2 linked regions of the Oryctolagus cuniculus genome follow. The protein of the gene in region 2 purifies or fractionates together with the protein of the main gene of each other region. This does not show direct contact. Links are inferred from orthologs where the notes say so. Each region holds a gene or a part of one and is shown on either strand. Other genes may lie near its edges.

Region 1 (3,915 bases), on a different chromosome or scaffold from region 2:
AAAAGCCTAGTGGAGCAGGTATTTGTCCTAGTGGTTATGACACCTGTGTTCAAGTCCTGGCCCCACTATGAATTCTAGCTTCCTATTCATGCATACTCTGTGTGGCAGCAGGTAATAGTTTAATTAGTTAGGTCCCTGCCATCCACATGGGAGACCTGGATGGAGTTCCTGGCTTTGATCTTGCCCAGCCTTTTCATTGAAGGTATTTAGGGACTGACCCAGCAGATAGGAAAACAGAAAAGCTATCATATTGACACACATAGATAAAAGTCATTTTTTACTATTAACCATTATTTAATAATTTATAAAGCTTTGTGAATAGTAGTTTAAAAGGCAAAGGAAGGGGGACCAGTGCTGTGGCATAGCAGGTAAAGCCGCCACCTGCAGTGCCAGCATCACATATGGGATGCCAGTTCAAGTCCCAGCTGCTCCGTTTCCCATCCAGCTCTCTGCTGTGGCCTGGAAAGCAGTAGAAGATGGCCCAATGCCTTGGGCCCTTGCACCCACGTGGGAGACCCAGAGGAAGCTCCTGGCTCCTGGCTTCAGATCGGCACAGCTCCAACCGTTGTGGTCTTTTGGGGAGTGAACCTGCAGATGGAAGACCTTTCTTTCTCTGCCTATGCCTTTGTGTGTAACTCTGCCTTTCAAATAAATAAATAAATAAATAAATAAATCTTAAAAAGGGGTGGGGGCAAAGGAAAGAAGACATTGTGGAACAACTGTTTAGGACAACTGCAACCAACACATGAGTGCAGGTTCAAGTCTTGGTTCCTCTGCTTCCGATCCAGCTTCCTGCTGATGTGCCTGAGAATGCAGCAAATGATGTCTCAAGTGCTTGGGCCCCTGCCATCCACATGGGAGACCTGGATGGAATGCTGGGCTCCTAGATTCAGCCTGGCGCAGTCCTGGCTGTTGTGAGAATCTGGGGTGTGAATCAGCAGATGGAAACATGGACTCTCTCTCACTCTCGTTCTTTCTGTATATGTGTGGGTGTCTCTCTGTCACTCTGCCTTTCAGATAAATGATAAAAATAAAAGACAAAGGAAATTAAATGATCATTAAAAGTGAAATATTAAATATTTTAGTATTTAATATTTAGAAGTATTATTTTAAGGAAAAAATACCATAGTGAACAATGGTCTCTATACAGATGAGCTTGAAGAGTGTATTTGAAGTGAAACTTTTCCCGTGGTGACCTTGTCTTGCTAGCAACCATTATACTTAGAAGTATACTTAGAAGTGGTTTCACTCCCTGAAGAGCGAAGTTGGGATAATGGTGTGGGCAGCCCAAAGCTCGGGGGGCTGGCCTGCCGGACTCTCGGGTCCCAAGATGCTGTTGACTTCCCATGCCTTTGGCCCTGTTCTTCAGCCCAGCAGATCTGGAGAGCGAGCTTCTGTCTCAGGAGTTCCAGACACTCCCATAAACCATGCTCGGACACTACTGAGTGACATACACTGTGCCAGTCTTCATGCTGCTGCTTGTTTCCCTGCGCTTGTCTCCTGAGCCGCTGTTGAGGGGTGCCCTCTGCAGCAAGCCTGGCACCAGATCGGAGGTAGTTCAGGTGATCTTAAGAGGGGTCGCTCAGCACCTGCAGCAGCATCTTGCCTAAGACACTGTCTACCCTCCCCTTTCAAATTGATCCATCCAGTCCTGACTGCCTTTTCTCCATTTATTTATTTATTTGAAAGGCAGAGTTAGGCAGAGGCACAAGCAGAGAGTAAGAGAGAGAGAGAGAGGTCTTCCATCTGCTGGTTCACTCCCCAAGTGGCCGCAACAGCTGGAGCTAGGCCGATCCAAAGCCAGGAGCCAGGAGCTTCTTCCAGATTTCCCACGTGGGCGCAGGGGCCCAAGGTGTTGAGCCGTCTTCTGCTTTCCCAGGCCACAGCAGAGTGCTGGATGGGAAGTGGAGCAGCCGGGACTTGAACTGGCACCCATATGTGATGCTGGCTCTGCAGGCAGCTAACCCACTCGCCATAGCACAGGCCCCACCATTTATTCTTGTGCCTGTTTGCTCAGCAGTCTGTTGTTGCCCTCTAGATCTTGTTTTTTAAGACTTACTGATGGATTGAAACTGGTGACTGTGGAGTTGCTGTTCAGATGACCACTAGTCCCTCTCACATGACTTGGATTTTTTACTTTTGGTTTCCAAGTGTGGGTACAAAAAGGCAGTCTTGTTTTTCTTATTTCCTTGTGGTTAATCACAGATTATTAAATGCTCACAGGAGAACATATGGTACCATAGCCTCTGTAACTCAGGGAGTAGATTCAGAGTGTAGAGTTGAGGAGGCTTCCCTAAGGAGTAACTTGCTGGGAACAAAGGATTTAGAAAGGTGGAGAGGACGGTGGGGTTAGGTGTGAGAGCTGGGGTTTGTGTGGTAGGCTGCAGGCGGCCGGAGGAACAGACACTGGCTGGGTAGGTCTGCCTCCTTCTGCATTCCAGGGTCCAGAGGTGCTCAGCACGGGTTGAGGCATGGCTCTTGGCAAGCTGGGTAAGCACAGGAACTAATATAAAGCAAATCAGAGTTTATGGTGATAAAAAACAGAGCCTTTCAAGTCCCCCCCCCCCTTTTTTTTTGATCCTAAAAGACCAGGCTTTCTGATTTGCAACATGGGCAAGCTCTGTAAAGAGTGGGCAGTCACACTAAGAAAGGTGGGTCTTTGAAAGCCTTTTAGACCCAGTTGTCCAATATAGTAGCCACCAGCGAACAGAGTAAATTTAAAATTCAGTTCCTGAATTGCACTAGCCATGTTTCAAGTGCTCAGGAGCTGCATGTGGCTACTGTACTGGACCATGCTGACCATTCTCATCATTGCACAAGACTCTGCTGCTCCAAAGCAACTGAGCTTTCTTCCAGGAGTATGTAGAGCAGGTATTGAGATAATGTTGGCTTCAGTGTCCCTCCTTCCCAGCTCGCAACAGGATAAGGTGCTGAGAACCTTGTTGATCTTCTTGCAAATGATGTGTTGAGGGCTCACAGAGTCTTCTTTCTCTCTTCTGCCACAGTGTTGGAGAGCTGGCTGGACTATACCGGGGAACTGGAGCCCCCAGAGCCACTGGCCAGGCTGCCACAACTCAAGCACTGCATCAAGCAGCTACTTACAGACCTGGGCAAGGTGCAGCAGATTGCCCTCTGCTGCTCTACATGAAACTGGGCACCCAGAACTAATGGCGGCACCACCTTGGGGCACCTGCAAGAGGAGCTTCACGTATTTAAATGAACAAACCTAGCATGCCGAATGCACGTGACACCAACTGACTTCAGGGATCCAGCCAGGAATGTGAGGGATGTTGGACGGAGAGGCCATTTCTGGCTGCTGGAGGACAGGGCACTCTGATCTTGAAGCCTGCCAAGAAGCTGGCAGATAGACTCTTTGGGATTCCCTTCTTCTGTGCACATCGTTGAATGAAGAAGAGTCATTTTGCACAAACTTCACTTGAAATCGTGCCACTGATGATAAATGGAATGAGAGCCAAAAAAGTTTATTTGGGGACAGTTGTAAATTCTACTTGCAGTTTATTTAATTGACTTCTGTCAGGTTGGGGTAGCCAACCCTGCTGGTTTCTGCCTGGCATGGTGTTTAGGCAGCAGGCATCATTTCATGTTCCAGCCTAACGGGAAGGTTGGGACTTGACCATTCGGTGGTGGCTGGGAAGCAGCAGAGGCCTTGGCTGCCATGCTTTTCCAGTAGGACACTTCACTTTTCTCACATCTTTTGCATGACTTCCTGGTACCCGGGACGAGTTCTGTGTAACCTCACCCCAGAGTTGGCTTTTGTAGCAGAACCCTACAGCCCTTGGAGGAACTAGAATCTCACTGTGTTAACAATCTAGGAGGAATTCCAAACTGAAACAGGCAGAGTCTGGAACCCAAAGGGGATGGCATTTTCTACCCACGTCTCAACATTGACAGCTT
Region 2 (4,741 bases):
CAGGAAGTTCAGTGGGACACTGCTGCCTTAGACCCTGGGAGGCCCTTCCGGTCCCATCCACAGTAAGGACTGGTGCCACGCTCGCGTTCCTGCAAACGTTGTGCTTCTAGGTGAAGTAAAAGCTTCTCCAAGCAGTACTTACCTCCAATAAGTGCTATGCGCTCTGGGATTTTCTCTTTTCCTATTTCTTTCTTCCATTTTCAAAATTTAAATGCTGCCCCCACCCACTGAATCAATTTTGCCATCTACTAGAAGGCCCCATCCCACAGCTTAAAAAACAGCACTGCAGGGGCCGGCACTGTGGTATAGGGGGTAAAACCACTGCCTGCAGTGCCAGGATCTCATATGGGTACCTGTTCAAGTCCCAGCTGCTCCACTTCAGATCCAGCTCTCTGCTGTGGCCTGGGAAAGCAGTAGAAGATGGCCCAAGTGCTTGGGCCCCTGCACCCATGTGGGAGACCCGGAAGAAGTCCTGGCTCCTGATCAGTGTAGCTCTGGCCGTTGCGGCCAATTAGAGAGTGAACCAGCAGATAGACCTCCTCCCCTTTCTCTCTGTGCCTTTCTTCCTCTCTGTGTAACTGACTTTCAAATAAATAAATCTTTAAAAAAAAAATAAAAAAGAACCCACACTTTGTCACCAAATGGTTTCTGACTTTTCACAGTTACCGGCACTGAAGCTGGCAGAGCCAGCCCCTAACCGGGTTCTTCAAGCCGTCGTGGGCCTCTCCTGTAGGGGATGACAAGGCTGCTCACCTCACAATTCCCTGCAGTAAACACTGGGCCTAACACTTGGGCTCACAGACCACTGTCTGGCATTATGATTCTCGCTTCAGCCCGCCTTCTGCTAGCTGTGTGACCTTGGGCATGTTACTGGATCTCTCTGAGCCTGCTTCCTCTTCTACCATAGAAATAACTATCCTTATGGCACTGAACTGTTAGGGAGGACGGGATGAGCTCACACACGTATAGGACTCAGGATGGTGCCCAACGTCATTCATTCATTTCCTTTCCTTTGTACTTCAAGCATTTTTGTCTAATGTCTAGGAGCCAACAGAAGACAGAGAAAGAAGCGCTGGGAGGCAGGGTTCCCATCCCAGCTAGGTATTTGCTCGCTGGGCAACTGCAGCCAAACCCTTGCCCTCTCAAGCCTGAATTTTCCTCCCTATGAAGAAGAGTACACAAAAGGTCAGGGAAGTCTCTGGCACACTATAGGAAGCATCAGAAATGGGACAATCTCTCTCTCTCTATGTAACTCTCAAATAAATAAAATAAAATGAAAATTTAGACCAAAAAAGAAACGGGAGATGTGTTGGCACCAGGGCCTGTGAAGCCCGGGGGAGCTGGTAGAGGCAGCGGGGCCTCCCGGGCCCTGGGGAAGGGGGGCCCCGGACCTTCTGCACGTGGTTGATCTCATCGTGCTTCCGCTTTTGGTTGCGCGTGATCTTGCGCTCAGGCTGCTCGGCCAGCTCACTCAGGTACTTCTCCGAGTTCTTCTGCACGGCGTCCTTCACTGTCTTGGTCAGCGCCAGCCGGTTCTTGTCCACCCATTCGTCCAATCGCCGGTTGACTGTGAGGATGGTGCGGATGGGCTGTGAGGGCTGCTGCCCGGCTGGCCCTTCTCCCACCCACCCAGGCCAGACTGCCCCAGGTCACTCACAGCCCACATAGTGCACATAGAACTCCTCTCGGCCCTCCTGGTCATTCACTCGAGACTGGATCACCTCGGCCGAATCTGAAGGACAAAGGGCAGGATCACCAGGACGCAAGGACCAGGACGAGAGACCCTGGACACGGAGGAGCAGCCTCCAGGTCTGTGGGGCCGCAGGTAAGCTAACCCCACCCAAACACATCTGCCAAGCTATTTCAACTTTCTGAGCTTTCGTTTCTCCATATGAAAAATAAGACCAACAGCGCCCACCTCAGAGAGTGAGCTCATGCCTCTGAAATCTTTCAGCCGGTGCCTGACCACTCACAGCTCACTTAGTAAGTGAGTAAGGCAACCACTGCGCGTCTGGCCCTACACCCGGGTACAGAGGGCAGGGCAATGACTCACAAGAGCTCCTGCCCTCCAGAAGTTCCCAGTCTGATAGGGGAGAAGACACAGCCCGGAAAATGACAACAGTAAATGTTACGAGCACCGCAGCGGCTGAGGTATGCAAACAATGTTGCAGGCCTGTGCACAGGGAACAGCTCACTCTGCCTGCAGGGGGAATCAAGCGTTGCATCAGAGAAGATGAGTTAAAAGGATAAGGAGGAGCGAGTCAGGCGGCGCAGGGAGGCAAGGAAGACAAGGTATTCCAAGCAGAAGGCACACGTGGTATAAGGCATCCTAGGGTATTCAGAGGGCAAAGCGCGTTCTTGTCCGGCCAAGACTGGGAGCCCCAGAGGTCACAAAAATGGATGCCATTCTAAGGAACTTGGGGTTTGTTTGGAAGATGACGGAAGGCAAAGGAATGTAAAGCGAAGAGGAAGCTTGTTTGGGGAGGGGGTGGTTCTCTGTTGGCGGCCGTGGGGGACAGATGGAAAAAGCAGAGATCGATAAGGAAGGAGAGTTAGTAAAGAAAGAAAAGGGAATGAAGCCTAAAACCCGGAAAGGAAGTGGAAGGGGAGCTCTGTAGACAATCAGAATTTGAAGATCGCCTGGCTGGTGGGATCTGGGCGGCGCCCAGCACACCTCGAAGGGTAACAGCCTGCCTCTACGCTGCGGCTTCCGCAGCGCCGGCTACAACGCCTACTTCCTCAAGCCCCACCTCCCCTCGACTCCCAGCGCCCAGCTCTCGGCCCCTGCGAGGACCCGTCCTCCGGCCCTGCCCCGCCGCAGTCCCCGCCCCCTGGCCCCGGACCCCGCCCTCACGCCAGGTGCTATCCGGCCGCCGGCACAGGTAGGTCTCTCCGATCTCCACCGTGACTTCTGGCTCGCCGCGCGCCGGCGTGGGCGGGGAGACGCGGCCCGGGGATGGGGCGGTCCCCTCGACCGCCGCATTCTCCCCTGGCCCGGGCTCGCTCTCCCCTGCGACCCCCGAAGTCGCCGCCGCAACCGCCGCAGCTGCTCCCTGGGCCGCCATCGCGGTAGAGGAAGTGACGCCAGAGTCAGGCGCCGCGCGCGGCTGTTTTCGCTCCGGGTCAACAGTGCGCGGGGGCGGAGCGTCAGGCCGGGTGGGGCGGGGTCTGTGATGTGGCGGGAGATTATTGGCTCGTGCGGCCGTCCTCTGCGCGCTGGGCGTGCGCACTGCGCTTTGCGTTGTCGGGGTTGGGAGATAGACTTTCCTGATGTACTGAGGTCGGTCTTTCTGATGGCCAAGATGTGCCGATTTTCAAGGGGTCGCTGCCCCTACTTTAGCGGAGCGGAGCCAGCATGGCCTCCTTAGCTCCCGGACGCCGGGATTGTGAGCCCGGGCTTAGCAGCCCGCCCGTGAGCCGCCCACCTGGGCCAGCCTGGTATCGGCCACCTGTAGTTTCTAAGGTTGAGGACACTGCTTCCTTTGTTCAGGTTGGGAAAAAGTAACCGCTGAGGTCGCGACAGCCGGACAGGTGTGTCCAGGGATGCCCTCCCAGAACAGTCTATTAAAGAAAGGAGCTGGTGCCGAAACCACCGGAGCAGAAACTCGCCCGGGGGCAGAGTGAGGTCTAACCCTGCCCTGGATAAGGTGCACACGCGTGCAGATGACCTGAGAGCCGGCACAAGTTAATACAGGTCCATACGGGTGGTAAGACTTTTAGCACTAAAACTGACGGTTACGCGTGTATGCTATCTCAGAGCCGGCAGAGTAGGCATCCAATAAATATCCCCTTTGCCCATTTTCTGAATATTCTTTGATTTAGTTATTGGATTTAGAATCAATTTTTTAAAAATATTTGTTCATTTACTTGAAAGAGTCATATATAGAGAGAAGGAGAGGCGGGGGGGGGGTCTTCTGTCTGCTGGTTCCCTCCCCAGTTGGCTGCAACGGCTGAAGCTGCGCCCATCTGAAGCCAGCAGCCAGGGACTTCTTCCGGGTCTCCCATGCAGGTGCAGGGGTTCAAGGACTTGGGTCATCTACTGCTTTCCCAGCCCATAGCAGAGAGCTGGGTCGGAAGTGGAGCAGCCAGGACGCCAACTGGCGCCCATATGAGATACTGGCACTGCAGGTGGCGGCTTTACCCCTTATCACCACAGCGCCAGCCCCTGGAAGCAATTCTGAGAGGCGTGGAATGCCCAGGAGAGTGGAGCTCAAGAAATACCTGCTAGAGGGATCCCGGGCCGATGGCAGTGGGGAGGCACTGGTAACTTGGCTCTTGGGAAATGAAGAAATTTAGGGGGCTAGTGATTGCTGTGTATCTGACATGATAAACATCACAGAGAAAAGATGAAAATTCTACTCCCTGCACCCTCTCCAGACTCCCTGCCTTGAAGATTCTTACTCCACCTACCCAGGGGACTGACAGCTTCAGTTACCCAGGCTGTCCCTTCCAGCGAAGGGTTAGCCAGAACTTTATTAATCCCTGATCAGGGTCACTGCTTCGGCCTCCACCGTTCTCCCTCCAGTCGTCTGGCAACCCATGATTCTTCCAACGTGCAGATCTGATCGCTGGGCCCAGAGCTGCAGGTGCTACACTCAGACACCCCCGCGGCTCTTGGTTATTTTCTGTCCCTAGGTCACCTTGGTGGGGTGCACTGGCCAGCACCGCAGGCTCTTCTTGGAGGAGCTGCCCCTAGGCTAATAGGGCTGTTTGGGAAGTTTTGAACCCGGGAGTTTGAGTG

The links. Proteins that work in one complex are often made in the same cells at the same time.
Region 1: the proteins of KAT8 (region 2) and PHF20 purify together in Homo sapiens (affinity purification with mass spectrometry; 3 studies listed by BioGRID and IntAct, counting the BioPlex papers as one, with this or other methods). This does not show direct contact. The link is inferred for Oryctolagus cuniculus from reciprocal best matches to the Homo sapiens genes KAT8 and PHF20.

Annotation. Positions count from the first base shown.
Region 1 is NC_091442.1:22,301,745-22,305,659, reverse strand, and holds the end of PHF20 (PHD finger protein 20), read left to right. Parts: intron 1-3,005; coding exon 3,006-3,148; downstream 3,149-3,915. UniProt on the Homo sapiens protein: Methyllysine-binding protein, component of the MOF histone acetyltransferase protein complex.
Region 2 is NC_091450.1:6,066,767-6,071,507, forward strand, and holds the start of KAT8 (histone acetyltransferase KAT8), read right to left. Parts: upstream 3,124-4,741; 5' UTR 3,066-3,123; coding exon 2,855-3,065; intron 1,733-2,854; coding exon 1,658-1,732; intron 1,568-1,657; coding exon 1,392-1,567; intron 1-1,391.